Linked DNA regions of Elephas maximus indicus. The protein of the gene in region 4 interacts with the protein of the main gene of each other region in a pairwise test. Links are inferred from orthologs where the notes say so. Each region holds a gene or a part of one and is shown on either strand. Other genes may lie near its edges.

Region 1 (7,917 bases), on a different chromosome or scaffold from region 4:
ATTAGGTAAAATCTAACAGATATTTTGCATGGAATAACTTAGAAATTCATTCAGTCATTCCTATATTTTATAGTTAAATTAATGAAAATATTTCAAAAGCATCTTTCAAAAAAGCAACTGATACTGCAGAAAACAAAATGTAAAGTTAAAAGTGAAATGCTTCCACTTATATGGAAAGTCTGGAATACACAAATCCATAGTGGTTGTCCAGGGCTGCAGAAGCTGGGGTGATATGCGGAGTGACTGCTAATGGGTATGAGACTTCTTGTTAAAGTGATGAAAATGTTCTAAAATAGATTGTGGTGATGGCTGCACAACGCTGTGAATATACTAAAAAATCACTGAACTGTACACTTAAACGAGTAAATTGTATGGTATGTGAATTATATCTCAATAAAGCTATTATTTAAAAAAGTGAAATGTATGTCTACTGCTAAGTATATAACGTGATGGACCCAACAATTCATCTCAATATATATCCTGTACCTAAATGACAGCCTGGTCTTAACAATTTGTTTAATAGTAATATATAATTAGTGAAAAATGGAAATATTTCCAAAAACACTAACACCCAACCAAAGTTCTCACATGAGCCTGCTCAACAGAAATTTGAAAACAAATGTTGGAACTTAAATACAAAAAATATAAAATCGACAGAAATTTCTAAAACTCCAAAAGCTAATTTTCTAATCCCTTTAAAACATCTGTAAATATGTCAAGGTTAAAAGTGTTCTATAAGACAAGAAACACAGCAGTAGTGTTCAAAAACTTTGCTCTCAAGAGTCTAATTTTGCTTCTCTCTTCTTACCTACAAAAAATGGTTAAATCTTATCTTGGAAACAATTCTAGAAAGGAAAATTTAAGATTTAAATGAACATTTTCTATATTGAGAGATGAAATTACTCATCAAAACTTGATTAATTTATCATCCAATTTGTAAGAAATAACCCCATAAACACGTGCCAATGAAGACTGTTAATAGAAATACTATGCATCAGCCCTAAGACCTTAAAATACCTAGGTTTGACACGCCATCTTAAAAAAGAGTGTGCAACTTTGCTTGTCCTTAAGAAACTGGTAATAACTGCATTCTGACGTTTATTCACCGTCTCAGAATCATCACCACTGCATGTAAGTCTCCTTCACAGTTCCCACATTCCATTCTATTAAGAATGCACTTTAGCACCTTACGTTCAGATTTTCCTTCCCCTCATTTGGGAGTCTTTTCCAACACACTACTAAACAACATGTGCATCACTCAACGCCAGATTCAGAAATAGGAAAAGGCACAGGATGCTGAATAAACATGGAGAGGGTTAAGAGCCACCAAAAAATTACCTAGCTTGTTTCAGTGACAACTTCAATGACCAAAAAATATCCTACTAGTTTCCTCGGGTTTTCTGAATATCCAAAAAACTCACCAAATGGAAACACCCAAAAATAAACTAAGATGTTTCCCAAGTCACTGGTGACACCACCACCTCCTCTTGTCTTCAGTAACAGAAACCGAAGAAGAGGCCTGATGCAACCACTTAAAACAGCCTTATCCACCAGCCCAGGGCAGCTCAGCCAAGACTCTCCAGCATCAGCAGGAGTGGGGGGTGGCGGCCTCTCGCCGTCTTCTCCGCAGGAGCTCCCAGTCCACAGCAGCAGTGCCTCCGCCAGAAAGCTTGGGGTGCAGCAGTAACCGCCTTCCCTCACTAAGGGGGCAAGGCAATCCCCCTTCTCCCCTCACCCTCCCCATCGCAGGGAGTCGCGTTCCGGAGCCAGTCTCCATACCACAGGAAGTCTCCAGACACACTGCGGCAAACAGGAGAAGGCAGTGAAGGGGGAGGGGTCTCAACGTTCCCAAACCCAAACCCACAACCATGGTGACAGGAGGGAGGGGCGCACGCTCAGCGCCCCCCTTCACTAGCCCAGGGCGCAGGGCGCAGCCCCGTACCGCCCCCTCCTCCAACCACCGCCTCGGAAAGTCTCCAGACCCACGGCTCCGGGCGCAGGCGGCGGCCAAATGACACTTGAGAGAGTGAGAGCAGAATCACATGACAGTCCAGGCCACACGCACTTTCTCCCACATGCACAGCCCACACCCCCTCTACCCCTTTGCAGACCCTCCGAGTAAATCCTGGACCGCAGAATAAGGCGGGGGTGGGGTGGGGGGAGGGGCGGAAGGGGAACCGGCAGTTGATGCCAAGGTGGGGGAAGCGGTGACGGTTGGGAGCAGGCCGGGTTCGGCCCGGCGGGCGGTTGGGTGTTTACCTTGATGCACCGCGACGCTGCAGCCGTGCCCGTCGCAATAAACCAGCGGGTTCTCGGCCCAGCCTCTCTCGTCTGAGCAAACGCAACAGCCTCCAATCATCTCCTTCATACTATGGGAGACCTCGTCCTCCAATGACACGGGCCGGTCGCTAGAGACCATCTAAGAGGGAGTTGGGGAGGACCATTAAAAAACACATGCAAACCAATTAGTGCTTCCCCCCGCACAGCCACCCAGGGCCCCGCTCCCTCCCCAGCGTCCCGGCCCCCGCCCGCCGCTCGGCCGCTCGCTCACTCGGGCTTTGCCGCTCAGTCACTCACGTTCCGCACAGGAGTCAGGAGCCATGTCCTTGCTGACTCCCCCCACCTCCCCTCCACCGCCTCCACCGCCTCCTCCTCCTCGTCTTCTTCCCTCCCCACCTCCACCCGGCCGCTAACGCTGAAGCCTGGAGAGGGCACACATAATCAAGTAGGCCTCCGCACAGGCGCACTGGGGGGGCTCCCGCTGGGCCCGGGGCAGCGAGGGAGGGGAAACAGGGCTGCGCTTCCTCCTCCGAGCGTCACTCGGCGTGCGCGCCAGCCCTGAGGCGGGCGTGAGGAAGGAGGCCGAGGAGAGGCGGGGCCTGCGTGCGCGCCGCCGCGTCCGGCCTGCAGCTCCAGCCTACCTCCCGGGCCCCTCTCCCTCCCCCGCGCCGGTCCCAGCGGCGGAGGTGTGCTGCAGAGGGTGGGAGCGAGTGGAGCCAGCAGCACGCCGAGGCCTGAACGGGCCAACGGGGACGCGCACGCGGGGGCGGGGACGTTGGGGCCGCCTCCTGCAGCGCCGGTCGCGCGGGCTGCGTGTGCACGCCGCGGAGAGGCTTTAGATGGAAGGGAAGGGGGAAGGATGATGCTAGGGGCCGGTTGTGGGTTTTGTTAGAGTAGCTGAAGGGCACTCTCAAGAGGGCGAGGGGGACCAACCTCCTGCACCAGGAACCTACCTCACGGCATATTCCTCAAGAACTGGCCCGTGAGTAACGGGTTGGGCATGAATGCCAGCCTTCCATGAGCGGTGTAATGAAGCATGGCTTCCTGCAGTTGGCCATGCTAACTTCCCAGTACTGCCGCAGCCTCTCCACCCATTAAATTCACATCCTGGACTCTACCCAAAGTTCACCAAATGTAAGTGCCACCAAATCCACTGCCCATTTACACACCACATTGGCTCCAGTGACAAATGAAAGTGCATCACAGACTGAAGGTCAAAAGCCTGTGTTAGGGTTATACCGGGAGAGGACTAATAACATCAAGACTACCCTGAGCTTGGTGTGTAGGAGTACACAGAGTTGTTTATCAGGAATTTAAAAAAAAAAAACAAAACCACCAGTTGCCGTGGAATCCATAATATGAAGATCTGGAAAATGCACTTATGCGACGCTAAAAGATGAAGGAATCCAATTTATCCTAGGCAGTCACGAAAATGTAAACACCATGAGATGCTGGAGTCAGTTTTGATTGAGGATTTCTCAGATCTGGCTATGTTCTCCAAATTTACTGTTGAAAATTTGAGGTCATTTAGTGGCAGGAAGTAGAAAAAGAGGTCCCTCAGATACAAAATGGATTAGGCCTATCTGAATACATTAACTAGCACACCTGGCTACTAAGCAAGCTGTTGTAAGATCTTCTTCCCCCTCCCCCAATCCCATATGTATCCATGTAAGCCCAATATTGATTTTAATCAAAAACAGTGTCTAGTTATAAAAGTTTAGCATGAAATAGGAATGTATGGGTAGATTGTTTAAATGACCAGCATGATTACAAGGTGACTCCATGGCTCTGGTTAATATTTTGCAGATAAAAATGAAAGTTTATCAGGAATTAGCAATATATAACATGATGATTTGGAAAATGCAGTTATATGACGATGATGGAGGAAGGAACCCAAGTTCTAGTCAGTAACCAAAAGATAATATATTGGTTTAAGCTTTTAAAAACATTCCAAATATTCTCATAAAGATTAAAAAATGGGTGCATGGCTGTTTTTTTCTATTCCAAATAATTTGCTAGAAATCTATTTAAGAATTATAACAGATATAATACAATGCAAGTATATATAAGCAAATATATTCAAATGTATTAAAAGCTAAATGAGAGATCTACAATAATGGAAATCTAAAGCATAAGATGACAATATACATTAAAGAGACACAAAAATGAGTCTTCTAGCTGTATTAGCGCATTTAGAAAAAGGTTTATACTTATAAAATGTAGATTCTTTCTTTAGGAGATGGCAACAATTAATAAATTTGTGAACATATAATTATGTTTTTAAGATGTAATTGATACTTGACAAAACTAAAAATTGTCTTCAAGCAAAACTATACTGTTTTGTGTATCTTAACTGTGTATTTTATCTTTATGCTTATATAAAGACTACCAACCAGTTCAACATCCAATTCCTGCTCAGACTCCTAAGGTAGAATAATTTTGAATTAAAATCAATGTGAAACTTTCCTTTCCAAAAACTCTGGTTAAGCCTTAATGCACTAGATTATTTAAAAAATACATTTGTTTTATTTTTCATGTATTAGAACTTAGTTCTTATGATGGAATTGATTTATACGTAAGGAAGGGTGGGTACTTTACCCTATTCTGTAACGCTTATTTTAGAAAAATCACAACCTGTAAGAGTTTTGAAGTTAAAAAAAGAAAATATCCTATTTCATATCAAGTCTGTATATAAATAATGGAATCAGGCAGGAATTTGGTTAAAGATGTACGTATAAATGTTGATAACAATAGTCAAATTTTTCATTATTTTAAATGGATTTTAACATGTTGAAATATGTTATGAAAATTATACGAAAAAACAATAGGTATAAATAAGTCATTTTCATTTTAGCTTTTTCTTTTAAGTTATGTAACAGAAGTATAATATTTAGTGTATTTCTATAAATACAGTGAAAACGGACAATAACACATAAAATAGTTCAGATATCTGTTATTTATATATTCATTCGATAAATATTTATTGACCATTTACTGTGTGCTGGGGTGTGTTTTGGATGCAGGAAAAGCAGTGAGCAACTTATATTTGTAAGAAAGCAACTTATATTTATACATGTGTATATATGCATATACAAATGTATGCATGTGTATGTGTACACGCACAATTGGTCAATTTTTTCTGTAACATACTAATTCTCAGACCTCAAAATGGATAAAACTTATTATTGAATTTCCAGAATTGTTAAGAGTTTACATTCCTTTTTAAAATATATAATAAGGTAAAAAGAAATTACCATGGAATTTGTCATGTAACTTCATAAAAAAAGACTGTTTCAATCTTATAAAATAATGTTCCCTTTAAATCTGATTCCACAATCTCAAAATATCCTTCTAAAAAGTACATCTAGTACCTGTAGAACAAAATAAAAGTCCATTGTATCTAATATTCTTCACATAACAGCAGCTAACTCAGTACTAGCTCATCTATTTCTCTGAGGGAAATCACAAAAAACTCAAGTATTTTACGATGTAACCTCTAACTCTTAGTGGGAAACTATAAGCAATATGTCTTTTAATAATTTTCTTTTTTCCTTAACCTAGGCACCAAATACTTGTATTTGCTTTTTCATAATCATTTACGTAAGTAGATACCCTAAAAGAAATACTTACAACTACATTTGGTTCATAAGTTAGTATTGTTCATATTTATCTTCTTTTTTTAATGTTTTCTTTCCCTTTTGTTTATGCATATTATATTTAGTCTGTTATACCCATTGTTGAGGTAAATTTGTATAATGCAAAGAACAGATACACTTTCCTTCACTCAGTTTCTTGACTTCTACAAAGTGTTTAAAATTCTATTTTGCCTCTGATCCTAAGTTTTTTAAACAAAAAGCAATTATTAGGATCAATGTGTCCACTAAATCTTATTGAAACAATAATCTTGTTTCTAAATAAATTAATTGGAAAACTCAAAAAGGCACGTTCTTTATGATCTGTACAAACTTTCATATCTGTCATCTTTTACATAAAGGAATCTCTAGTTAAAAATTTGTTTATCTGGTGGCCAAGGGTTCTTATCTTTTACCTGAAAAGTTTATCATAAGCCATGTATTTAAGTTACTATGATTAAAATACTGAGCTATTTCTGCATCTAGTTTTGTTATTTATCTCACCATAAATGAGTACTGTATCTTTATAGATACAAACACACGCATGGCACCTATATCATGGAGTACTACATTACAAATTTTCTAAAAAGGTATTTGTTTTTAATTTTGTTTTAAATCGAGATACTATTAATAGTTTTTAGAAATTTTCATTTCATGCAGAGTTAACCTTACTGGGTGATTTTTTTACTTACCATAACCCTTAGCAAGTGTCTTGCACATAGTAGGCCCTCAATAAATGTTTATTTAATGTGCAGTAGTAGTGTTTACAAGCTAATTGCAGTTTGAGCTTTATTCTTCAGAATAAAGCAAAACTTTACTTTGCATGTATAATTGAATTAAATTTTCTAAGTAATGATTAACAAATTTTCAGATAAATTTAAAGATTTTCAGTAGTTGAAGTTAATATATGTAAAGACTTTTTGTTTACCAGGTAGTTTAGAATTGTCTGTATTTAAATAGTCCTCAAATGTTAACCACCTTTCATGCAAAAGTAATAATTTTATTACAGAACAGACTGTAACTTACAATCAATCATAATTAATATTGTTAGATACAGTTAATTTTTGGAAAGTTTAGTTAGGTAATTCTAAAATTTAAATTGTATATAATCTAAATAAATCTTTTTAAGAATAAAGGCCTAATATTTACTTTAGAGGTTTGGTTTGGTTAATCTTGTGTTTGTCTTCGGAGCCATTCCTTTTGCAATTAAATTGATATCTTTTGGTTGTATTTACATTTTTGGGTAAAACACCATGTAATTACCAATAGAAAAATAATATATAAAAGCTGCCTTCAGATCTTTTGGGTGTTACATAAATCCCAGGAACATTCCAGAGTTGGGCTATTTTTTTTCCATGATGTAACAATACTTAAAGGTGTTACACTTTGACTTTTCAGGAAACCATCCATATAATGGAAGAGTGGGATTGTGAAGTCCAGGTTCCCAGTTTTCTACTGACACTTAAGATTTGCATTTCTCTTAAAGTGTGATTAAAGTGATATATTTCTGTGTCTTTATCGATACAATAAGGCTATCTAAGGGAAAAGATTCTGGATATGGAAAAGAGGAAAATCAAGTTTTGAAATGGAAGAGAACCATGAAAGAAATGAAACATATCTTGGACTAAGGGGGGGAAAAAAGGAATTAAAGTAGTTGCTAAAGACTACTTTGACCAAAAAAGGTCATTTTTTTAAATTTAAATATTTTCCTTTCTGAAAGGGGCCACTGCTTAGCAAATCCAGAAACAAGCCCAAGAATATGTTAATTAACTGCATTGTGTCCCAGAATGAGACTGACAAATTCAGTTTTTTAATTCCTTCCATTAATAAACTGTCTAGTACATCTGAGATTTTAAAAATTTATAATGTGTATATTTACCCCTTGAAATTGTACAGTAACAATACCAAGGACCAACATGACCCCATAGGGTGAATCTTATGAAGCTTAACATTCCTGACGAATTAAACACACAAGCTCCAGATCATTTTTTGTCAGTTTTACTTC
Region 2 (7,552 bases), on a different chromosome or scaffold from region 4:
CTTCCCCAGTCATCTTCTGAGTACCTTCCAACCTGGGGGGCTCATCTTCCAGCACTATATCAGATAATGTTCCGCTGCTATTCATAAGGTTTTCACTGGCTAATGCTTTTCTGAAGTAGACTGCGGGGTCCTTCTTCCTAGCTCCCACGTGCCTGTCAGTTTGTTGTACTGTGGGGGCTAGCGTGTTGCTGCGATGCTCGAAGCTATGCCACCAGTATTCAGATAGCAGCAGGGTCATCCATGGAACACAGGTTTCAGCTGAGCTTCCAGACTAAGGCAGACTCTTCCTAGCTAGTCCAATATATTCCTACACTCAAGTTTACAGAACTTAAAACCAGATCCTGGATTGCCTGTTATTCTTGCTTTTCTGACCCCTTCTTGGCCCCAAAGTAGTTTATTTTAAACCTCATAGCTTTATATAATGGTGCATTGAATTTAAATTAGAGGAGGGGCATTTGTTATCCTTCCCAGTTACTAATATAGTTCTCAGCCACTCTGTGTACCTTGAATTATAACTACTTATAATTGAAGATAAGAGTGAACGACACCTAAATATACTGCCAGGAGACCTCCCAAATCACTTCCAACTCTAGATTAACACCTGGGATATGCCCACTTTTTTTCTTTTTAAATCACACTGGAAACTTTGAGATAACTTATTATGTCGGTACAATATTACAGAACTGTGAGGTAACTAAGTTTTTCTGCTAGAATTCTCATATCAAAGAAGAATCACTGAACCTCTCCAATTTCTTGCTGAGAGGCCACAAACAACTCAAACCAGGAGCTATTCTCTGAGGGGTCAAACAAGGACTGCATTTAAAAGTTTAAAGGAAAGGATGAGAGGTGAAAATGGCATCTGCAGATGGGCATGCTGCTTCCATGGTTGTTCCAGGACAGTCAGAATCAAGGAGAGGAAAAATTCCACTTAAGTTTTGAAAGCAAAAAAGTAAACTTTGACTCTGCTTTTCACGTCAGAGCTTTAAAATCTTAAAATACTATAATAGTACAAAAAATTATATTTAAAGTAATTAAGAAAATCTATAAAAATGGAAGAACTATCATGGAAAACTGCGAAAGCATTTAGCATTTTTACTTCCTAATCAAAAAATGGAAATCAAACCCATTGCCATCGCGTCCATTCTGACTCATAGTGACCCTAAAGGACAGAGCAGGACTGCCCCACAGGGTTTCCAAGGAGAGGCTGGTGCATTTGAAGTGCTGACTTCCTGGTTAGCAGCCAAGCTCTTACCACTGAGGCACCCAGGGGTCCCTTTTATTTCCTAGCTGAACATAAATGAAGGAGTATCAGTAATGTTGACATGTACAGTTATTTAATAAAAGAGAAATAATTGTCACGGAAGACCAAGAATATTTATTAGCCTTCCTTTGAGCATGAACTAGGCAAGGCATTTTGGGAAAACAGTGGTGAATATACAAAACCAAATAAATCAACAAAAGCAATACAAGACAAACGAATTTCGAGCCGCAATTTATCTGATTGCATACTAACATAATTCTTAAATTATTAGGCACACTCAAAATAATGAAGTGCCACATATAAAATAACTCTAACATACTTTATATGGGAATACAAATTTCTGTCTTAAAGGGCATTATCTTTTCATGGTTCGAACCCACCCAGGGGCACTGCAGAAGAAAGGCCTGGTGACCTGCTTCTATAATGGTTACAGCCAAGAAAGGCCTATGGAACAGCTCTGCTCTGCCATGTGGGGTTACTATGAGTAGGAACAGGCTCAAAGGCAATGAGTAACTCTTTAAATGAGTGGTACGTTTAGAGTCAGTTATGTTTTCTTTCCTTACAGAAGCTGTGCTATAAACAAATAAAAATTAAAAAATGCTACTAAATAAATAATAAAATAAATCCTAAAAACCCACAATAAATTCAGGTCCCGTTTATTGATACACTGTTAAAAGTAGGATTTAAACACTGTTTTACTATATTCTTTGCCTTCTGGCTATATGTTTTCAGTATTTTGTTATCACATTAAATGAAATGACTTTAAATTTTGTTACATTCAAAAGAAAATTATTTACTCTTTGATTACTGAAAGCAGTACCACTGTAGCATATTACTGCAACATTAATTTACAATTAACTCTTTTACTGTATCAAAATGTCTAATATTAAACAGTTTCCAATGCTTGGATAAAGGCTCAAAATTACGTCAAAAGCATTAGGAGAAACTTTTATGGAGGCCAAAAAATGTTACCAACCTCAAAAACTAAGCAGAACCATTCATTCAGCGCAGTACTTTTCTTGCTTTCAAACGAAAAGTTTTAAGTGATCATATAAATATCTAACAATGCTTGAAACATCATTAGACTGATTCTTTTACTCCTCTAGGTTGAATATTGAGAATGTCGACAGGTTGTAACATTGTTGACAGCTGTAAACAATAAATAACCTTTATAAAGTCTAGAGTTACTAGAAGATAAACTTTGTAATCTCCTAGAAAAATCTTCACTTTGTTGCAGGACCAAGTATAAATAGCAGCTAACATTTAATGATTGTTTCTTAAGTGCCAAGCACTGATTCTTACCCTTATTTTCTATTATAATAATCTGTAATTATTTTATCATCTTTATCTCCCACTATTCCAGAGACTCCATTGGGGAAGGGACCTTGCTTGTTCCTTACTGTGTCCCCAGCACCTAGCATGTGTAAACACAGTAGGCAGTGAACATTTACCAAACGAGTCAATGTTCTAAATAGTTTAAATAATTTTTTTTCTCCAACTGTGGGTTATGCAAATGAAACATAATGGAAAATAGCGTCTATTACACGTAATAGAATAAGTTTTCTTTAGCGATATTTGTTATATTTGCCCCATGTGTACGTCCCACGTAAAATGTAGTTCTTACCCTGGGGTACCATGGAAAAACAAGTAGGAAAATTTCTGCTTTACATGGATTATTTTGTTTGCTCCTCACATTTAACCCTGTAGACAATACATCAACCTCTACTTTAAAAAAACAAAACTGAGCTTTCTAGGGTTATATAAGTTGTCCAAGATGGCAGAGCCATCTACTACAAATATGACCATCACTTCCATAGATACTCACTTATGGGAAACTGTACTAAAATAATCTGAATTAAATGAATAAGGTTGCAGTAACAGTGATTGTGACATGATTAAAACAAACAAACAAAAGGACAGGCTTTGAAGGAAGACAGGACTGAATTCAATCTCTGGCTTTGCCAGTAACCAGCCGTGTGGCCTTTAGCGTGTAATTAAACCTCTCTGAGCCTCGATTTTCCCATGTGTAAAATAGGAATAATCATAAAGTTACTGTAAGTTTTAAATGAGCTAATGTATGTAAATAGCCTAGACCACTAAATAGAAGCTATTTCGATTAAAACCATTATTATTGTTTTTCCCCCATCCAATAAATCACTTTCATCTTACTAAATCAGAATTTGAATGTGTAAAAAGTGTGAATCAGAAACTAATTGGATTAAAGAGCCAAGTATGAGAACTGGGCAAAAGTGACATAGAGCTGTCCACAAGTTTCTGCTGGCACTGGTTGAGAAAGATGCCTAAATCAGGATCAGAGAGTTGGTTCGGGTGGAATCAAGGGAAGCAACGCCGCTCAACCGTCAAACAAACTCATACGATTTCATCCTTCCTTAAAGATTAGAGCAACGCCCATCTCCTTCCTATACAGCCAGGCTGGGGCTTAACCAAGGTGTCAGGAAACGCATCTGGTCAGTTCCCGTCCACGAGGCCCTGGGTACCAAGGGGCTGGGGCACAGAGGTTCGGAGCAACTCACCCCGGAGGCTCCGTTGATATTGCCCTAGAATCTCCTCTACGGCAGAGTTCCCTGGGGACTTCGCCATGCCCGGACCCGGGGCCCAAGATGGGAGTTAAGTGGGACGTGTCCAGAGGGCTCCGCTCAGAGAACAGGCCTACCGCCTGGGGAGGGCCCGCCTGCTTCCTGCAGCTGCTGTCACTGGGGAGCTTGGAACCCGGGACGGAGCTCGTGGGGGCTCTTCCCACCCACTGGCCCTAATGGTGGACGTCGGGAGTGGTAGTCCACAGGCTCAGGACCTCCAGCCTCGAGATACTAAGCCCTTCCAACTACACTACAATTCCCAGAGAACACCGCGCTCCAGGAGCAACTTCGGCGGTTCGGTTGCCAGAGCCGGTTGCCAAGAAACAGCTTGGAGGCCCCGCCCTTTTCCTATAGCTCGGCCTTCATGCCATCCTTCTGTCTGGACCACCTAACTGACGGAAAGATTTCACGGTCGGCCTTGGGAGTCTTCGAAATGTTCTAATACGCGGCTGACCTCTAAGGCTTCTGAAGGACTCAAATGACAAGCTCTGAATCTTTTCATCCTTGAAATTTGTCACAAAGGCCAAATCAATTCTCAAGAAAAAGAAGCTCTATATCTCCGAACAGCCTAGACAGTCTAGCTTGTGAAGGCGGCCGACACTACAAATCCTAGCTTGCCCGGCGACCCGACCTCCCGTTGGCGTTAGCGCACTGCTCGCTGGGAACTGTAGTCCTTGTTGGTTGCGGTTCCGCGAATGCCTGGGTCGTGTTCATTGTTCGAGATGTTCTTGGGACACGCCTGCGCAGTGGGCAGCTGAAATAGCGTGTGGGTGAGACCCTCCGCACAGCCCCTTTTCATTGTCTGTCTTGGCGCCTGCGCAGTAAGGGATTGTTGGGACAGGGCAGGAGGAGGGGATAGGGCTCGGCTCCTCGCCCTTTCCCAAGGCGCCTGCGCACTAGCCGGTCGCTCTTTGCCGTTACCGCTATGTGTGGGGCGTGTGTGGAATAACGTTATTGCCCAGCGGAGCTGAGGGGCCCGGAGCTCGACAGCAGCGACAGCGACAACGACGACGGGGTGGGAGGAGGACGGCGTGCGAAAGACTCACGGGACGCGACGCGCCCCGCCTCCACCGTCCGGTCCCTCTCGCCACAGTCAGGGGTAAGTGATGCGCTCGGCTGCTCTGGCTCGGCGCTGCTGATGTCGCCGCCGCCGCCGCTTTTCCACCTCCTCTTCCTGGGAGAGCCTCGGGTTTGCGGCATGGGCTCGGGGTGCGGGGCCGGGAGGCGAAGGGGGCGCTTCCCGGATGCTCCGCGCGGCGCCGCCACCCCGCCCCGCGCCCGCCTCAGGGGCTCGGCGGGGCCGCCCCTCCCATCCCCCGCCCCGGGTCCCCCGCCCCTCCCATCCCCCACCCCGGGTCCCCCACCCCGGGTCCGCCACCCCGGGTCCCCCGCACCGGTCCCCCTGTCGTGCCGCCAGCCCGGCCTTCTCCGGGCCACTGCCTCTCTTCCCCTAAACGTCTAGAGTCGTTTCCAGCGCCCCCGCCGGCTTTGTGCGGTGCACCCCCGACCCCCGACCCCCACCCCCACCCCCGTAGCAGCAGCGGTTTGTGGAGGGTGCGGACGCAGGGCCCGAGGGAATGGCTGCGCTGGCGCGGGGAGGGGGTTTTTCCCAGATCCGCAGCCCTGCTGGGGCAGCGGACAGAGCCGGTCCTTTTCGTGTGGTCGGTTTTGGGGTGTGGGACGGTTGGGGGAGGTCGAGCGAGGAGCCCTTTTGGACGCAGTTGGAGGGCGTGGAAGACGTGGTGTCACGCACCCCGCCTGGCGATGTCAACCGCGTAGGCTCCAGCTCCATAGTAAACCCGGGGGAGGAGAGAGTGGCTTCCTGTCGGTTTCATTGTCCTGAAATCCAAGTGTAGGGTTTGGTATGGTCCCCTTCGTTTTATGCAAGGGGAAAAAAATAAATAAATATCTGCCTAACACAGGGCGGGAAGAAGTGTAGTCTAGGTCGTAGAATCTGCTTTGGGTGTTTAGTTGAGTTTTATTTGAAGAATGTAAGGTCCTGAATAGCAGGGACTGTGCCTGCTGCTGGAGCCCAAACGCTGCCAAGGTGATCAATATGAAATTACTAGATGAAGAGCGGGCTACGAAGGGACTGACAATGCAGCTGTTTGTAGCAGGGAAATGAACCAGCAGAATTGTTTTTTCATTGGGTGGGTAACGTATTCGTATTCCTAAGAGAATAGATTTGGACACATCTTTCCGTTACATTTTTTTAAGAACTCAAAACAAAGCCAAACAAACAAAAAAAGAGGCCTGGTATATTTCCTCTTTCTGAAGTCGTTTGTTAACATTTTTCATTCTCTTAATGAAATTTCGCCCATTTGGGAGGAATTATAGTGAAGCAGATAATATGTGATTGGGAAAAAATCTTTTAAGATGATTTGATCGTTAAGCTTACAACGTTTGCGGGCGTTTCTACTTAAGATTAGCAGAAGAGAGAATGAAGCAGGGTGGGGAGGAGCAGATGGAGGAAAAATGTAAGATTGTGGGAGAGAGTTACATTCTGAATACGGTATCTAGATCTTCACTGATAGAACCCAAGTTACAGGCATGCTTCAAAGATTTCAGAGTTCAGCTCTGGAAATATTATATTGGTGAATGGCAGGTTACAAGAATTTTGTTTTTTCTGCCATTATTTTATGTTCCCCAGGGCTGCTGCTTGTTCTTTCCAACTTTGTAGATACTGTAGAATTTTGGTATTTTAAAACAGAAGAGTCTGAGTGCACTTGACAGAAAAAAAAGAAAAAAACCCCACTGCTGTGGAATGGATTCCCACTCGTAAGGACCCTGTAGGACAGAGTAGAAGTGCCCCATAGGATTTCCAAGCCTGTAAATCTTTACGGAAGCAGACTGCCACATATTTCTCCCACAGTGTAGCTGGTGGGTTTCAATGGCCAACCTCTAGTTTAGCAGCTTAGTGCTTCGCCACTGCATCACCAGGGTTCCTTCACTTGACTGAGGGAAACACTAAAAGTCTGAAAGTTAACTGACTTGTCTCCAAGCCAAACTGCTAATGGAAGGCAGAGCCGGATAAAACCACGATCTGTTCTGCAGAGTGCTGTTTCCTGTGTGCCTTGTCTTCTAACCCTAGTACTCCTACGCTGTGAAGATTTATGGATACCTTCTCTACATGCTTTTTCGACTGTTTCTTAAGAATCAAGTTCATTGGTATTCCAGTTGTATTAATCTAGTCCTTTTTCCTTGTGATGAAAGTAGCAATTCTGCTGAAATGGAACTTAGTTTTTTAAAGTAACTTATTGGTATAAGGAAAGATGCCTTAACATCGGTTTTTCATAAAGACAGAGACTGTTGGAATTAGCGACCATGTTTTAATATATTTCTTGGTATTCAATAGCATTTTATAGTATGATCAGTTCTGCAAACTGTGTTAAAACTAAAACTGTCACATAAGAAAAACCTATTAAGTTCATTTTTCTTTGATTAATGGATTATAATATTTTTAACTTAAGTTAGAAGTTACCTACTGTGAAAAAATTCATGTTGGACTGTTTTTCAAAATTTTAAGCTTTTTTATTGAGTTGATTTTGCCATTAATCCTTTTATGTTGCCTCATAATTTTTATCCTTTAATTCCCACATTGGATTTTTATAAACATATTTTCTTTAGAATTTAGTAATACTTCATTTAAATTTCGACTTAGTTTTAAAAAAGTAGTCTGTAATTAAATCCCATA
Region 3 (7,305 bases), on a different chromosome or scaffold from region 4:
AATAGTGCCCTTCTCCATCCCCTGAAACCAATAACCTTGATCATAAAGGACATAATATGTCTGGTTGGCCTCCCTTGCATCCCAAATTTTTTTGGGTTTTTTTTTTTTTTTTTTTTTGGTTTTCTTTTCCTGTGTGTGTATGTGCTTTAAAGTTTACAATTCAAGTCAGTTTCTCATACAAAAACTTAAACACACGCTATTATGTGACCCTAGTTTTTGTCCCTATGACAGCATGCTCCTTCTCTCAACCCTGTATTTCCAGTGTCCTTAACCAGCTCCTGTCGCCCTCTGCCTTCTCGTCTCGCCTCCAGACAAGAGCCGCGCACATAGTCTCATGTGTGTACTTGAGCTAAGAAGCTCACACCTGACCAGTATCATTTTATGTTTTATAGTCCATCTAATCTTTGTCTGACAAGTTGGCTTCAGGAGCAGTTTTAGTTTCCCAGTTTTCTTACTTCTCAGTTTTAACTTGTTATATGGTTACCTGACTTGTACAGCTCAGCCGTTACACAAAACATGAACACTTTGCTATAAGTTCATGCTATAAGTTTCAGATGAGTTAGGGGCTCTAAATAAACAAAACACATAAGTTATTTCACAGATGTTTTTCCCTTCCTCACATGGTTAATTCCCACTCATGCTTAGTCCCTCAGTTCTAGTCATCTTCCTCTGGGAAGCCGTCCCTGAGATCTGACCTGGTCCCCCCTGTCTGTAGTCAGTCTCTCACAGCACAGGTACCCTTTTCTCTTTTACAGTTATAATCTGTTGAATGAATGCATGAGTGAATAAACGAACAGAGTGAAAGCCACACTAGTACCAGAATCGCTGCAAAAGGCAGTAAAGCCAGGCTGCCGACAGGCCTTGGCAGAACAAACAGGTGTGCAGCCCGAATGACTCAAACCTGGATTCAAATCCCAGCTCAGCACTCGCAAGATGTATGACCTTGGGCAAATTATTTAACTGCTCTGTGCTGTTTCCACATTTGTAAAATGGGGATAATAAGAATGGCAAACAGGGTCCTGGTGGCACAGTGGTTAAGAGCTCAGGCTGTTAACCAAAATGTCAGCAGTTCAAATTCACCAGCCACTCCTTGGAAACCCTATGCGGCAGTTATACTCTGTCCTGTAGGGTCCCTATGAGTCAGAATAGACTCAACATCAACAGGTTTGGTTTTCTGGTTTAGTGATGACTTCCCAGGGTGACTGTAAGGATGAAGTAAGTAAAAATCTATTAAACCCTCAGAACGGTGCCACCTGCTAAGCCCTCTCTATATACTAGTTATTGTGTTAGCCCTGAAGACATTATTTTTATCTGTCATTCTATAGTACAGAGCCAAGTGCCCTATCTCTTTCTCAGCCACATCTTACCAAAGCAAAATCCAAACCCACTGCCGTCAAGTCAATTCCGACTCATAGGAAATTTAAATCATCTGGTAGGAGTATGGCCTTTAGAACTTAAGTGAAAGTAAAGTCATTCAACTTCCAGTTATCTTTGGCAACAGGTGAGGATTCATTTTTTTTTTTTTTTTTGTCTGTGTTTTACTAAATCAAGCTCTAGATTAAAAGGAGGAATCCAGAAAGACGACAGACGTGAGGGAAACAGAAGAAGAGTGGCAGCTTGAATGCTTTCCTATTTCAAAGTCTAAGATAAAAAAAAAGATACAGCCATAAAAAAATGGTTAAAGCAATCACCAGACCCCAACCCACTGTGATCAGAGCCACGGACACATTCAGCGTCAGCCATCAACCTTCTACATCAGGCCACTGGGGGCAAAAGGAAAAAAGCAAACCGTGAACCTGACTGTAGGATGTAAGGGACAGTGGGCTGAAGAAAGCCCTGTGTGTTAAGGTCCCTGGGAGGCTGATTTTGCAGGCTCGTCCTCTAGAAAACACTGCACCTTTATACCTTGAATAGTGGAGGGACTCTTCAGGCCGGAATCACCCAACCCCTTTAAGCCCCAAGAGGTTCAGAAAGTGCCTGTGGGACCCACCCAGGCCTGCAGGGCAATGTGTTTTTCAGCTTTCTTTCTATCAGAATCCTCGCTCTGTCCACCAAGAAACCCAAGTCAGTGTCTGCAGCACCTGAGCTGGGCCTCAAAGTGTCCTTTAGACCAGGAAAAAAAAAAAAGGGTAGGACCTACGGCATTTATTTCTGGGTCCTTAGCGCATGGTAGGAGCCCTGGTGGCACAGTGATTAAAGCGCTCGGCTGGTCCAAAAAAAAAAAAAAAAAAGACTCGGCGGTGGAACCTCCCCAGCAGCTCCCGGGGAGGAAGATGTGGCAGTCGGCTTCCATAAAGATTTACAGCCCTAAAAACCCTATGGGGCAGCTCTACTCTGTCGCGTAGGGTGGCTATGACTTGGGTGGGTTTCACACACGGTAAAGCCTGACACACAGGCACGTCCAAATAAATGTGGAAAGGAGGGAAAGAGAAGGAAGAGAAAAATGCTTAAAATGCACTAAAAATAGGCTCACCACCCCGCCGTCCAGATCAAAACCCAAACTTGCATCCCCAGAATACAACAAAAGGCCAGGGCCGGATTTCAAAGAGGAGCCGCTGGCTGCCGGACTTGGATGGCCGCTTGGAGCAGCTGCAGCGCAGGCAGGTGAGCGGGACAAAGCGCCAGCTTTACCTGGAGCAAGGGGTCGACGCCCTGGAGCCCCGCCGCCCAGTGCACGGCCAACCGGCGCTCCCCACCTCGCTGGGAACCGGAACCACACCTGTCCGAGAGTGCGGTCCGGCACGGCCCAGGCGGACGCCCACCTCGCTGGGAACTGGAACCACACCTGTCCGAGAGCCCGGCGCGGCCCAGGCGGACGCCCACCTCGCTGGGAACCGGAACCACACCTGTCCGAGAGCCTGGCGCGGCGCAGGCGGACGCCCACCTCGCTGGGAACCACACCTGTCCGAGAACCCGGCGCGGCGCCCGCGGTCGGAGCCCAGCTCTCAGCTCCCGATTCAAACCGCCCGCCGCCGCCGCCGCTGCCGCCGCCGCTCGGTCTCCATTCGTCCGCTTCCGGCCCGGTCACGCCCACCTCCGAGCCTATTGGTCACTTGTACGTATCGTCGGGCCAATCTGCTTCCCCGGATTCGGAACGCCGCTTCTGATTGGCCCTTTTGAATGGATTTTAAAATCAAGCCGTCGCTCCCGGAGACGCCTGCGCCAGCGCCGAAGTGGGGCACCTCCTGGTTTTGTTGCGGGAGGGCGGGGCCCACGTGCTGCGGAAGAGGCCGGACGCCGATCGGCCGGTGGCGCGGCGGCTGAAGCGCTCGGCTGAGAAGCGGGAGGTTCAAGCCCACCAGCCGCTCTGGGGAGAGCGACGTGGGGGTCGGCTTCCCTAAGATTCCCGCCTTGGGACCCTATGGGGCGGTCCTGCTCTGTCCTGCGGGGTCGCTGTGCGCCGGAGCGGGTCTACGCTGTGTGTTTGGGTTTCTTCTGGCAGAAGGCAGGGAAAGGGCCGGCTGATGAATAGGGCGTGGTCTGTCTTAGAGCCAGCGGGGCGTGTGCGTTCTGGTGAAAACTTGACACTGCACCTGCTTATCAGTTTATTAAATGTTGAACTTGGGACGTAGATACCAGGTGCTGTGTTTGCTATGCGTTCTTCATCCACTGTATCCTTAGCGGTCCTTTGCGGTGACTGAGACACACAGAAGCTAAGTAAATGGAATTTGAGTCCGGACATGCAAGGGTCTAGCTGCTGCCCTCTCTCGATCCCATTCTGGAAAGGAGATTGTGAATACTTGCTACCAAAGATTGATGCCTTGCAGCCAGAAGAATCTTCAAAACTGGATATAAGCCCTCCTTTTCAGGAAGCCCACCAATGTTTTCTGCATTTTATATACTTTATTTCCCTATTCAACTATAAATATTCAACTATAAATAAGCTTGTGAAGGCAGAAATAAAGCAGTGAATTGTTGAATTAATACATTTCTGACCATTTGCAGCTGTCTCTGAATAAGTTCCAAGCTTTCCACAACCCTCCTTGCCTTTCCTTAGAATGTTCCTGAAGCCTAGACTGCTCTTACCTGTCCCCTCCTCTCACAAACGCTGCTCCCCATTCAGTATCCAATTCCAATGTCACTTTCCTCATAAAACTCTGTCCCCACCAGCCATTTTGTTGTTGTTGGGTGTTGTCAAGTCGGCTCTGACTGATAGCGACCCCATGTACAACAGAACAAAACACTACTGGTCCTGAGCCATCCTCACAATTGTTGTTATGCTTGAGCCCATCGTTGCAGCCACTGTGTCATTCCATCTCATTGAGAGTCTTCCTCTTTTTTGCTGCCCCTCTACTTTATCAAGCATGATGTCCTCCTCCACGGACTGATCCCTCCTGATAACACGTCCAAAACATGTGAGACACAGCCTCGCCATCCTTGCTTCTAAGGAGCATTCTGGTCATACTTCTTCCAAGACAGATTTGTTCGTTCTTTGTCCATTCACGGTATATTCAATATTCTTTGCCAACACTACAATTCAAAGGCGTCAATTCATCGATTTCCTTATTCGTTGTCTATCTTTTGCATGAATATGAGGCAATTGAAAACACAATCGCACCTTAGTCTTCAAGGTGACATCTTTGTTTTTCAGCCTTTAAAGAGGTCTTTTGCAGCCAATTTGCCCAATGCAATGTGTCTTTTGATTTCTTGACCTCTGCTTCCATGGGTGTTGATTGTGGATCCAAGTAAAATCCTCGACAATTTCAATCCATTCTCCGTTTATCATGATGTTGCTCATTGGTCCAGTTGTGAGGATTTTTGTTTTCTGTATGTTGAGGTGTAATCCATACTGAAGGCTGTGGTCTTTGATCTTCATTAGTAAGCGCTTCAAGTCCTCTTCACTTTCAGCAAGCAAGGTTGTGTCATCTGCATAACGCAGGTTGTTAATGAGTCTTCGTCCAATCCTGATGCCCCATTCTTCCTCATATAGTCCAAAACAAAAACCCAGTGCCGTCGAGTCGATTCCGACTCATAGTGACCCTATAGGACAGAGTAGTACTGCCCCACAGAGTTTCCAAGGAGCGCCCCAGCTTCTCTTATTATTTGCTTAGCATACATATTGAATAAGTATGGTGAAAAGGCACAACCCTGACACACATCTTTCCTGACTATTACCAATTCCAGATATTTCATATAAATGGAATCATATGATATTTATCCTTTTGTGACCTACTTATTTCACTGAGTATAAAGTTTCCATGGTTCATCCATGTCATAGCAGGACTTCATTTCTCTTAATAAAAACTGAAACTCAGTGCCGTCGTTTTGTTTATCCATTCATCTGTAGATGGAAATTTAGGTTGTTTCTACCTTTTGGCTATTGTAAATAGGGCTGCAATGAACATAGAGGTATAGGAACCTGTTTGCAGTCTTGCTCTCAGTTCTTTGGGGTACTTATCTAGGAGTGGAATTGATGGAACATAAAATAATTCCATGCTTATGTTTTTGAGGAACTGCCAAACTGTTTTCTACAATAAAAAATCAAAAACCAAACCTGTTGCCATCGAGTCAATTCTGACTTACAGTGACTGTATAGAACAGAGTAGAACTGCCCCAGAGAGCCTCCACGGCTATCCTCTTTACTGAAGCAGACTGCCACATCCTTCTCCTGTGGAGCAGCTGATGGGCTCAATCCACAATAGTTGTACCATTTTACAATTTTACCAGCAATGGATGAGGGTTCCAATTTCTCCACATCTTCATCAACACTTGTTGTTTTCTGTTTTTCTGATCATAGCTATTCTGTGGTATCTCATTGTGGTTTTGATTTGGATTTCCCTAATGACTAAAGGAGCCCTGGTGGCACAGTGGCTAAGAGTTTGGTTGCTAACCAAAAGGTCAGCAGTTTGAATCCACCATCTGCTCCTTGAAAACACTATGGGGCAGTTCTACTGTGTCCTATAGGGTCCCTATGAGTCGGAATAGACTCAGCAGCAAAGAGTTTAATGAGTAACGAAAGGAGCCCCTGGTGGCTGCTAACCAAAAAGTTGCCAGGTTTGAGCCACCGTCCTCCTGCCCACCCACAGCAGCTCCTCGGGAGAAAGACCTGGCAATCTGCTTCTGTAATATGGGATCACTATGAGTCGGAAGTGACTCAATGGCAGCACCTAACAACAGTAACAAACGGCTAACGATGTTCAGTACTTCTTTATCTTCTTGTTGGCCATTTGTATATCTTCTTGGGTGAAATGTCTGTTCAAGACATTTGCCTGTTTTTTGATTGAGTCATTTATCTTTTTGTTGATAAGTTGTAGGTGGTCTTTACATATTCTGGAAATTAGGCCTTTATATGCTTCCCCAATATTTTCTCTCAGTTTGTAGGTTATGTCTTTGCTTTGTTAATAAAGTCCTGTGATGCAGAAAAGCTTTTAATTTTGATAAAGTCCAATTGTCTATCCCACCGCTTGTTGCTTGCACTGCCAGCATATATGTTAGAATCCAGAGTCAAAAACTAGGTCCTGAAGCACTGACCCTGTGTTTGCTCTAAGTTATGGCTAAAGTTCTTAAATTTAGGTCCTTGATCCATTTTGAGTTAATCTTCGTATATGGTATGGGGTATATGGGTCCACCTTCATTCTTTTGCATGTGGGAACCTAGTTGTGCCAATACCATTTATTGAAAAGACTATTCTTTGTCCATTGAATGGACTTGGCACCCTTGTTGAAAACCGATTGGCCATAGATGTGTGGGCTTATTTCTGGACTCTCAATTTTCTTCCATTGGTCTATATGTCTATCATTACACCAGTACTGGACTGTTTTGATTACTGTAACTTGATAGTATGTTTTGAAATCAGAAAGTATAAGTCCTTATACACTCAATTCTTAAACAAGGAAATCATGTAATGGAAAACTATTCTAGTAACTTCTGTGCTATTTTTGTGTCTTTTGAATTTTATGGTTCCCTTCTGCCTCTATTTTTCCTCAGTTTGTTTTTTTTGTACTTTAGATGAAGGTTTACAGAGCAAATTAGTTTCTCATTAAACAATTAATACACATATTGTTTTGTGACATTGGTTACAAACCCCATGACATGTCAACACTCTCCCCCTCTCGACCTTGGGTTCCCATTATCAGCTTTCTTGTGCCCTCCTGCCTTCTCATCCTTGCCCCTGAGCTGGTGTGCCCATTTAGTCTTGTTTTGTCTTATGGGCCTGTCTGATCTTTGGCTGAAGGATGAACCTCAGGAGTGACTTCAGTGCTGAGTTAAAAGGGTATCCAAGGGTCATACTCTCAGGGTTTCTCCAGTGCTTCTCAGTTTTTTGAGGGGGAGGAGGTAGGTTTCCATCCAACCACATGTAGATGT
Region 4 (7,613 bases):
GTTGCACTGGGGTGGGGCCTGTGAGTCTGCAATTCTAGCAAGCTCCCTGGTGACACTCACATTCAGTGGCTTTAAAATTTAGAACATGCTGACCTTGCAAGGTCCTGTGCCCCATGTGAGGTGGGAGAGACGTAAACATGGCCTGTGCCCTCAAAGATTTTACAGCCTCCCAGAGTAAATGAAACCTCACGGAAATGTCTGCAACACAAGTTAGAGCGTGAGTCCTCTTACTGTGTGACTGGACAAGTTGCGTGACCTGTTTGGGCTTCAGCTTCCTCGTCTGTAAAATGGTTACAGCCTCTGCCTTGTAGGGTTGAGGATTAAAGCAGGATATTGTACTTAAATACTTGGTTTGGTACTTGGCACATAGTAAGCCTCAACGAGGCATGGGGTACACCAGGAGAAGCATGGAATTAGGTGGGCAGGCCGGTGGGATGTAATGGAATTAGGTGGGCAGGCTGGTGGGATGTAAGTCAAAGGGCATAAGATTGTGAGGCCGTTCTTAAGAAGATTTCATCTTAGCCTAAAAACCAAATCCATTGCTGTCTAGTTGATTCTGACTCATAGCGACCCTATACTACAGGACAGAGTGGAACTGCCCCATAGGCCTTCCAAAGCAATAATCTTTACAGAAACAGACTGCCACATCTTTCTCCTGTGGAGCCACTTGTGGATTCAAACTGCTGACCTTTCAGTTAGCAGTCAGGTGCTTAACCACTCTGCCACCAGGGCTCAGTTTCCATCTTGGCCAAACATCCAAAATGTATGTAAAACTGCTACAACTTAACAACAAAAAGACAAGCAACCCAATAAAAAAATGGGCAAAGAACTTGAACAGGCAGTTCACTAAAGAGGATATTCAAAAGATCAACCCCCACAAAAAACCCATTGCCGTCAAGTCAATTCCGACTCATAGTGACCCTACAGGACAGAGTAGAACTGCCCCGTAGGGTTTCCAAAGAGCACCTGGTGGATTCAAACTGCTGACCTTTTGGTTAGCAGCCGTAGCTCTTAACCACTATGCCACCAGGGTTTCTAAATGATCAACAAGCACATGAAAAGATGCTCGACATCATTAGCCACTAGGGAAATGCAAATCAAAACCATAATGGATTTCATCTCACCCTCATTAGAAAAAAAAAAAGGAAAACAAGAAGTGTTGACAAGGTTGTGGAGAAACTGGAACCCTCATCTATTGTTGGTGGGAATGTAAAATTGTGCAACCACTGTGAAAAAACAGTTTGGTGGTTCCTCAAAAAGCTGAGCGTAGAATTACCACGTAACCCAGCAATCCCAGTCCTAAGTATGTATCCAGAAGAAGTGAAGGCAGGAATGCAAACAAAAACCTGCACACCAGTGTTCATCGTAACACTTTTCGCAGTTACCAAAAGGTGGAAACAACAGAAAGGGACATCAACAGGTGAATGGATAAGCAAAATGTGATAGTATACGTACAAAGGACTATTACGCAGCCGTAAAGAGAGAGGAAGTTCTGACGTATGCCACAACATGGATGAACCTTTGAAAATGTTATCCTGAACCAAATAAGTCAGCTGCAAAAGGACAAATTGTACCTAATCTCATTTATATGAAATAAGCAGATATCTAGAAACCAAAGATTATTAATGGTTACTAAGGGGAAAGAGGGAGTTTTTGTTTTGGGGGCTGTTATGGGTTGAGTTGTGTCCCTCAAAATATATGCTGTAAATTCTAATCCGTATGCTTGTGGCAAAGAATATTGAATATACCATGGACTGCCAAAAGAGTGAACATATCTGTCCTGGAAGAAGTACAATCAGAACGCTCCTTAGAAGCAAGGATCTCACATACTTTGGACATGTTATCAGGAGGGAACAGTCCCTGCAGAAGGGCATCATGCTTGGTAACGTAGTGGGTCAGCGAAATAGAGGAAGACCTCCAATGAGATGGATTGACACAGTGGTTGCGATAATGGACTCAAGCATAACAACGATTGTGAAGATAACACAGGACCAGGCAGTGTTTTGTTCTGTTGTACACAGGGTCGCTATGAGTCCAAACTGACTGGACAGCAACTAACAACAACAACATACTTGTGGATATAGTTCCATTTGGGAATGAGTTTTCTTTGTTATGTTAAGGAGAAAGTATTAGTATAGGATGTGTCTTAATTCAATGTCCTGAGATATGAAAGAGCAGATTGAGCAAGCAACTAGGCAGGCAAGCACAGATGGAGGAAGACAGACGCCATGCCATATGAGATCTCCAAGAAGCAAAGAAAGAGAAACTGAAAAATGACAAGGATCTTTCCACTGAGCCGACACAGAGGGAAAGCCTTCCCCTGGAGCTGGTGACCTGAACTTGGACTGCTAGCTTCCTTAACTGCGAGAAAGCAGATTTCTGTTTAAAGTCATCCACTTGGGGTGTTTCTGTTGTAGCAGTGCTAGATAACTAAGACAGGGGGCAATGAATTTATGTTAATGATGGTGGAATGTTTTGGATGAGGATAGCGATAACGGTGGCAGAACATGAAAAATGTAATCAGTGTCACCGAGTTGCAAATGTGGAAGTTGTTGTTTTGGTGGACATTTTGGGGTGTATGTTTTCACCACAATTTTTAAAAAAAAAAAGAGAGAGAGAGAGAAGAGGGTGCCATCCTAGCTATCAGAATGTCCATAGTCTAAGAAGAGGGTCAGGAAGGTGAGGACAGAGAACCAGGAGGATAGGTCTCCTATCAGCAGGTGGCTAACCTCAGGGCTGCTTTCAAGGGAGATGTAAGGATGCTATGGAGTCCCTGGGTGGTGCAAATAGGTAATGCACTGGGCTGCTAACCAAAAGTTTGGAGGTTTGAGCCCATCCAGAAATACCTCAGAAGAAAGACTGGACAATCTTCTTCCTAAAAATCTGCCATTGAAAACCTTATGGAGTACAGTTCTCCTTGGGGACACATGGGGTTGCCATGAGTAGGAATCTACTCAAGGGAAACTGGGTAAGGATGCTGCAGGCTCAGCAAGCTTCCTTCTAGAGATGTGTGGGATGGGTGGGAGCAGGACTTCCAGGCAGATAGAGCTGTGGCTTTTAGCACACTCCCGCATTCCACATCCCTGTGGGTATTAGGGAATTTTCAGAGCAGCTGAGAACAACTAAGGGTTCTCTGGCCCTGGCACTGCCCTCATGCAAAGCATTTGCACAGCGTGCAAAACATCAGCCCCACGGCTGTGGCTTCCGCAGCTGAGTTTACCTGCGTGCTTTGTTTCCTTACTATCTCTGAAGTCCACGGATATTTATGGACTAACTTCCGGTGCTCTGCTGGAGGCTCCTGGGGACACAGAGGGAAACCTGTGCAGTCCCTACCCTCACAGAGTGATCTTGGGGAGAAAAAAACATCATCATGGCAAAGTAATGATTAATGAAGGACCTCGGTAGCAGCTCTTAACAATGGTGCTTCTTCTCTAAAGCTAAACCCACTGCCATTGAGTCAATTCTGACTCACAGAGACACTATAGGACAGAGCAGAACTGCTCCATAGGGTTTCCAAGGCTGTAAATCTTTGCAGAAACAGACTGCCACATCTTTCTCCTATGGACCTGGTGGTGGGTTCAAACCGAAGACCTTTTGGTTAGGAACCGAGTGCTTTAATCACTATGCTACCAGGATGAGACTCATTAACAGATGAAACCTACAGTTTTTGGAGAGGTGAGAAGTGTTAGGTGACTTCAGGCTAAAGTTTTCTGATCTGGTAAAGACTTAAAAGTGGGTCGAATTTGGAAAGGCAGGGGACAACCACTAACAGCTAAAAGGGACTAATTGGATCTGTACCAAGCCAATTACACACATTTTCTCATTTAAGTCCTACAACAATGCTAAGAGGTATCATCTGGTATTATCTCCATTTTATAGACGGGGAAAATGAGACTCAGGGATGACAAGCAGCTTGCTCTTGGTCTCACAACTAAAAGCGGCAGGTCAAGTCTATCTGACTTGAAGTTCATGCTGTTATGTACCACATCATGTACTATGCCTAGTTCTGAGCTGGGCCCCCTTGGGGATAAAAACAAGGGTGATGTCTGCTTATCAATTACCCTCAATAAGCTTTTTTTCTTCCCCTTGCCTGCACCCTCCAAATACAGGGACAGAAGCAGGAAAGTGGGGGTGGGATGGGGAGAGGACAGAACATTTGTCTAGAAGAGCAGTGGGCTACATGCCTGCAGTGGAAACAGGGGACCTTGAAGGCCTGGCTAAGAAGTTCACACACACACCAGTTGCCATTGAGTCAATCTGAACTCATGGCGACCCCATATGTGTCAGAGTAGAGATACCTCCACAGAGTTATCAACAGCTGATTTTTTGGGAATAGATTCATGCGCCTCTGGGGGGACTTGAACCTCCAACCTTTCTGTTAGCAGCTGAGTGTGTTAACCGTTTGCACCACCCAAGGACACCGGCTAAGGAGTTAGGGCTTTTTTTTTTTTCCTCCCCAAACACTGAAGACTTGCTCAACCTCAGCTGAGCAATAAGTCTGACAGGGTTGCCTCGCTTCTAGATGGCAGGGTGGCCCCAGTCTTCCTGGTCGTAACCCACTTCCTGTTCTTGCGCCTCTTTTGTCAGATGGTGATCTTCACCCTTCCTGTTGACTGCTACTTTGTTTTATCTGGTCCAGGGTGGGCCCCTGTGTGCTGCCGTCGATGCAATCAGCGGACACCTGGGACACAGAACCAGGTACACTGGGATGATGGGGAGTGGGAGGTCTCATTGGAGAAGTTCTGGGCCAGGTGAAGGCCAGCCTAAGAGACACCAGGGAAGGAGGCTCCTGGTGGTCTGAGGACCCCCTCTGCTTTTGTGGGGGTGGGATGGTCGAAGGCTGAGGTTAGTTTTTGCCCTGCGATGTTAGTTATGTCCTCGTGGGGGTGAAACAAGGGGTTTGCTTTGGTGGCATTCTGAAACCACCTGGTCTGCCCACATCTCCCAAAGATTCGGATCCCCTTGCTTTGGTTTTCTGTTTCCTGGACCGGCCAGGTAGTGCTTTTCTGGATTGCAGAGGGAGCTCCGTGTGTTGAGACAGGTTTATCTGGTGCTGACTGGACACCTTCAGTGTGACGCACTGAAATAGAACTGAGCTGACCACATTAGGGGCTTCTCCACTGAGCCTGGTTTCTCCTCTACAAAATGGCAAAATGTCCCTATTTTCTGTGATACCGAAGTGGGGCAATGATTGTGAAAGTGTTTCATGAACTTTAGGATTGTATTCTTCAGGGTTTGGGGTTACTTTTATTTTCTAAATGGAACTAGGTGTATTTTTTCCTGGTAATATATGACAGCTGGAAAAAATCAAACAATGCAGAGAAAATGAAAATCGTCACATAATCCCATCCCCAGAGATTGCTGCTATTAATACATTGGTGCATAGACTTCTACACTTTTAGAACTAGTTTTTTTTTTTTTTATGTCTAAGTTTACTTACTGTCCTGAAACCTTTTTCCACTTAATAATATCTCTTGAATATCATCTCATGTTAATTCATGGGCATTTACCTTGTCCTTCTTAACAGCTGTGTTTTGTTCCATTGTGTGGCTGTACCATGGATTATTAAATCAGTCTGCTATCTATTGATGGGTATTTAATCATTTCAACTTGTTGCTATAATAATAAACAATGCTGTAGTGAATTGTTAGTTGTCGTCAAGTCTGCACTGACTCACGGAGACATTACAAGTAACAGAATGAAATGCTGCCCGGTCCCGCGCCATCTTTACGAATGTTGGTATGATTGTTACGGGTATTGTGTCAATCCATCTGACTGAGGGTTTTCTGTTTTCACTGACCATCTGCTTTACTTTATATCTTTGCACTAGTTCCATTATTTCCTTAGAATAAATTCTTAGAACTTGAATTGCTGGATGAAAGGTTATATGTTCATTTATAGTTTTGATTCATTTGTCTGGATTCCCCTAGGAAAAGTCATACTATTTTATTATTTAAAATTTAGTATCTACTTTTATTAAAGCAACACAAAGCTTTCAATGAAAAATAGCTATTCCTTGCCCTATCTCCCCTCTTCAACGTTCTCCCTACCAGAGAGAAACACTTTCAATTCTTACAGTTACTTCTATTTCCAGGTGAGTTGCCTATATGGCTATTTTTTTATTTTAGTCATTATCTTTCATTAATAATTTATTGACTTCTTATTATGAAACCTATGAATGTAGCACTCTTACTCCACCCTATCTCCACATTATTGCTTCTCTATCCTTCTAATATATTTATATCACAAATTTTGGTTAAATCGATATTCACATTTACATTATGTATGTTGTTATGACTATGTAAAAGTTATCTTCTGAGTTATATAGTATATTATTATTGTTTCCTTTCTTTGACAACTCTTTGTTTTCCCTGGAGTTGATAATTGCCTCAGTTTTTCATTTGCTTAGTCTTTACATATGTATATATCACTGATGGCTCTCAATATGATCAGATCTATCAGTTTCTATATTTTTTCCTTTTTTAAAAAATTCCTTACAGACACCTTCCTGAAGCCTCATGCTATTGCTCTAATCTGAATTGGTTGTTCTCTAGGCCTACTGCATAGTGTTGTCCTGGGAAATCCCTTAGCATCGTCCTAGAATCTTCTGCGCTCTGCATCCTACATTTTCCTCTTCATTTACTACCTCATTTTGGTGTCACACATCTTCCAATACATAGGAGGTAATTTTTTTCAGATTCTGACTGAAAAAAATGCCTTTATTCTATTAAGAGTCTAGCTAAGGTTTAGAATACTGAGTTGGAAATAAATTTTCTCTCAGAATTTTAAAGGCAATGCTCCATTGTCTTTAAGCTTCTAGTCTATTTTTGAGAAGTCTGTTCTGATTCCTAATCCTTCATATGTGGCCTGGATTTTATCTCAATGGTGGTTTTTAGGATTTTCTCTTCATTTCTGGGGCTCTGGAATTTTATCAGGGCGTACTTTGCGTGTGTGTTTTGTCATTCATTGTGCTGGACACTTGGGAGACCTTTTCAATATAGATACTCATGTCATTCAATTCTGGGAAAAGTTCTTGGTTATTAGTATTTAAAAAATAATTTCTTCCCCTTTATTGTCTCTGTTCTGTTTTTCTGGAACTCCTGTCATTTGACTGTGGGACTTTTGGGCTTACCCTCTCATTTTTCTTATTGTGCTTTAGGTGAAAGTTTACAACTCCAGTTAATTTCTCATACAAAAATTTATATGTGTATTGCTATGTGACATCAGTTGCAATCCCTATAATGTGACAGCATGCTCCCCCTTTCCATCCTGGGTTTCTTGTGTCTATTCAACGAGTTCCTGTCCCTTCCTGCCTTCTCATCCTGCCTCTGGACAGGACCTGCTTATTTGGTCTCATGTATCTGCTTGAACTAAGAAACAAACTCTTCACAAGTATTATTTTATGTTTTAATTTCTCTCAGAATTTTAAAAGCAATGCTCCATTGTCTTTGTGAGTTTCTAGTTTATTTTTGAGAAGTCTATTCTGATTCCTAATCCTTTGTATATGGCCTGGTTTTATCTCTATGGAAGTTTTTAGGATTTTCTCTTTACCTCTGGGGTTCTGGAGTTTCTCCAGGATGTGCTTTCTGGACTGGGACAGGGGTAATTGCCTT

Evidence for each region.
Region 1: the proteins of NDEL1 (region 4) and MLLT10 interact in a two-hybrid assay, tested with the Homo sapiens proteins (2 studies listed by BioGRID and IntAct). The link is inferred for Elephas maximus indicus from reciprocal best matches to the Homo sapiens genes NDEL1 and MLLT10.
Region 2: the proteins of NDEL1 (region 4) and CEP170 interact in a two-hybrid assay, tested with the Homo sapiens proteins (2 studies listed by BioGRID and IntAct). The link is inferred for Elephas maximus indicus from reciprocal best matches to the Homo sapiens genes NDEL1 and CEP170.
Region 3: the proteins of NDEL1 (region 4) and CENPF interact in binary tests that used the Homo sapiens proteins (3 or more experiments, as listed by UniProt). The link is inferred for Elephas maximus indicus from reciprocal best matches to the Homo sapiens genes NDEL1 and CENPF.

What each region holds. Positions count from the first base shown.
Region 1 is NC_064822.1:34,533,289-34,541,205, forward strand, and holds the start of MLLT10 (protein AF-10), read right to left. Parts: upstream 3,021-7,917; 5' UTR 2,922-3,020; intron 2,894-2,921; exon of another isoform or gene 2,677-2,893; intron 2,630-2,676; exon of another isoform or gene 2,552-2,629; intron 2,420-2,551; coding exon 2,260-2,419; intron 1-2,259. UniProt on the Homo sapiens protein: Probably involved in transcriptional regulation. In vitro or as fusion protein with KMT2A/MLL1 has transactivation activity. Binds to cruciform DNA.
Region 2 is NC_064842.1:20,966,732-20,974,283, forward strand, and holds the start of CEP170 (centrosomal protein of 170 kDa), read left to right. Parts: upstream 1-4,539; 5' UTR 4,540-4,957; intron 4,958-7,552. Other genes in the region: SDCCAG8 (serologically defined colon cancer antigen 8), read right to left, coding at 3,796-3,862.
Region 3 is NC_064842.1:3,497,029-3,504,333, reverse strand, and holds the start of CENPF (centromere protein F), read right to left. Parts: upstream 3,010-7,305; 5' UTR 2,902-3,009; exon of another isoform or gene 2,720-2,901; intron 2,715-2,719; exon of another isoform or gene 2,632-2,714; intron 1-2,631. UniProt on the Homo sapiens protein: Required for kinetochore function and chromosome segregation in mitosis. Required for kinetochore localization of dynein, LIS1, NDE1 and NDEL1.
Region 4 is NC_064837.1:12,341,209-12,348,821, reverse strand, and holds the start of NDEL1 (nuclear distribution protein nudE-like 1), read left to right. Parts: upstream 1-4,594; 5' UTR 4,595-4,698; intron 4,699-7,613. UniProt on the Homo sapiens protein: Required for organization of the cellular microtubule array and microtubule anchoring at the centrosome. May regulate microtubule organization at least in part by targeting the microtubule severing protein KATNA1 to the centrosome.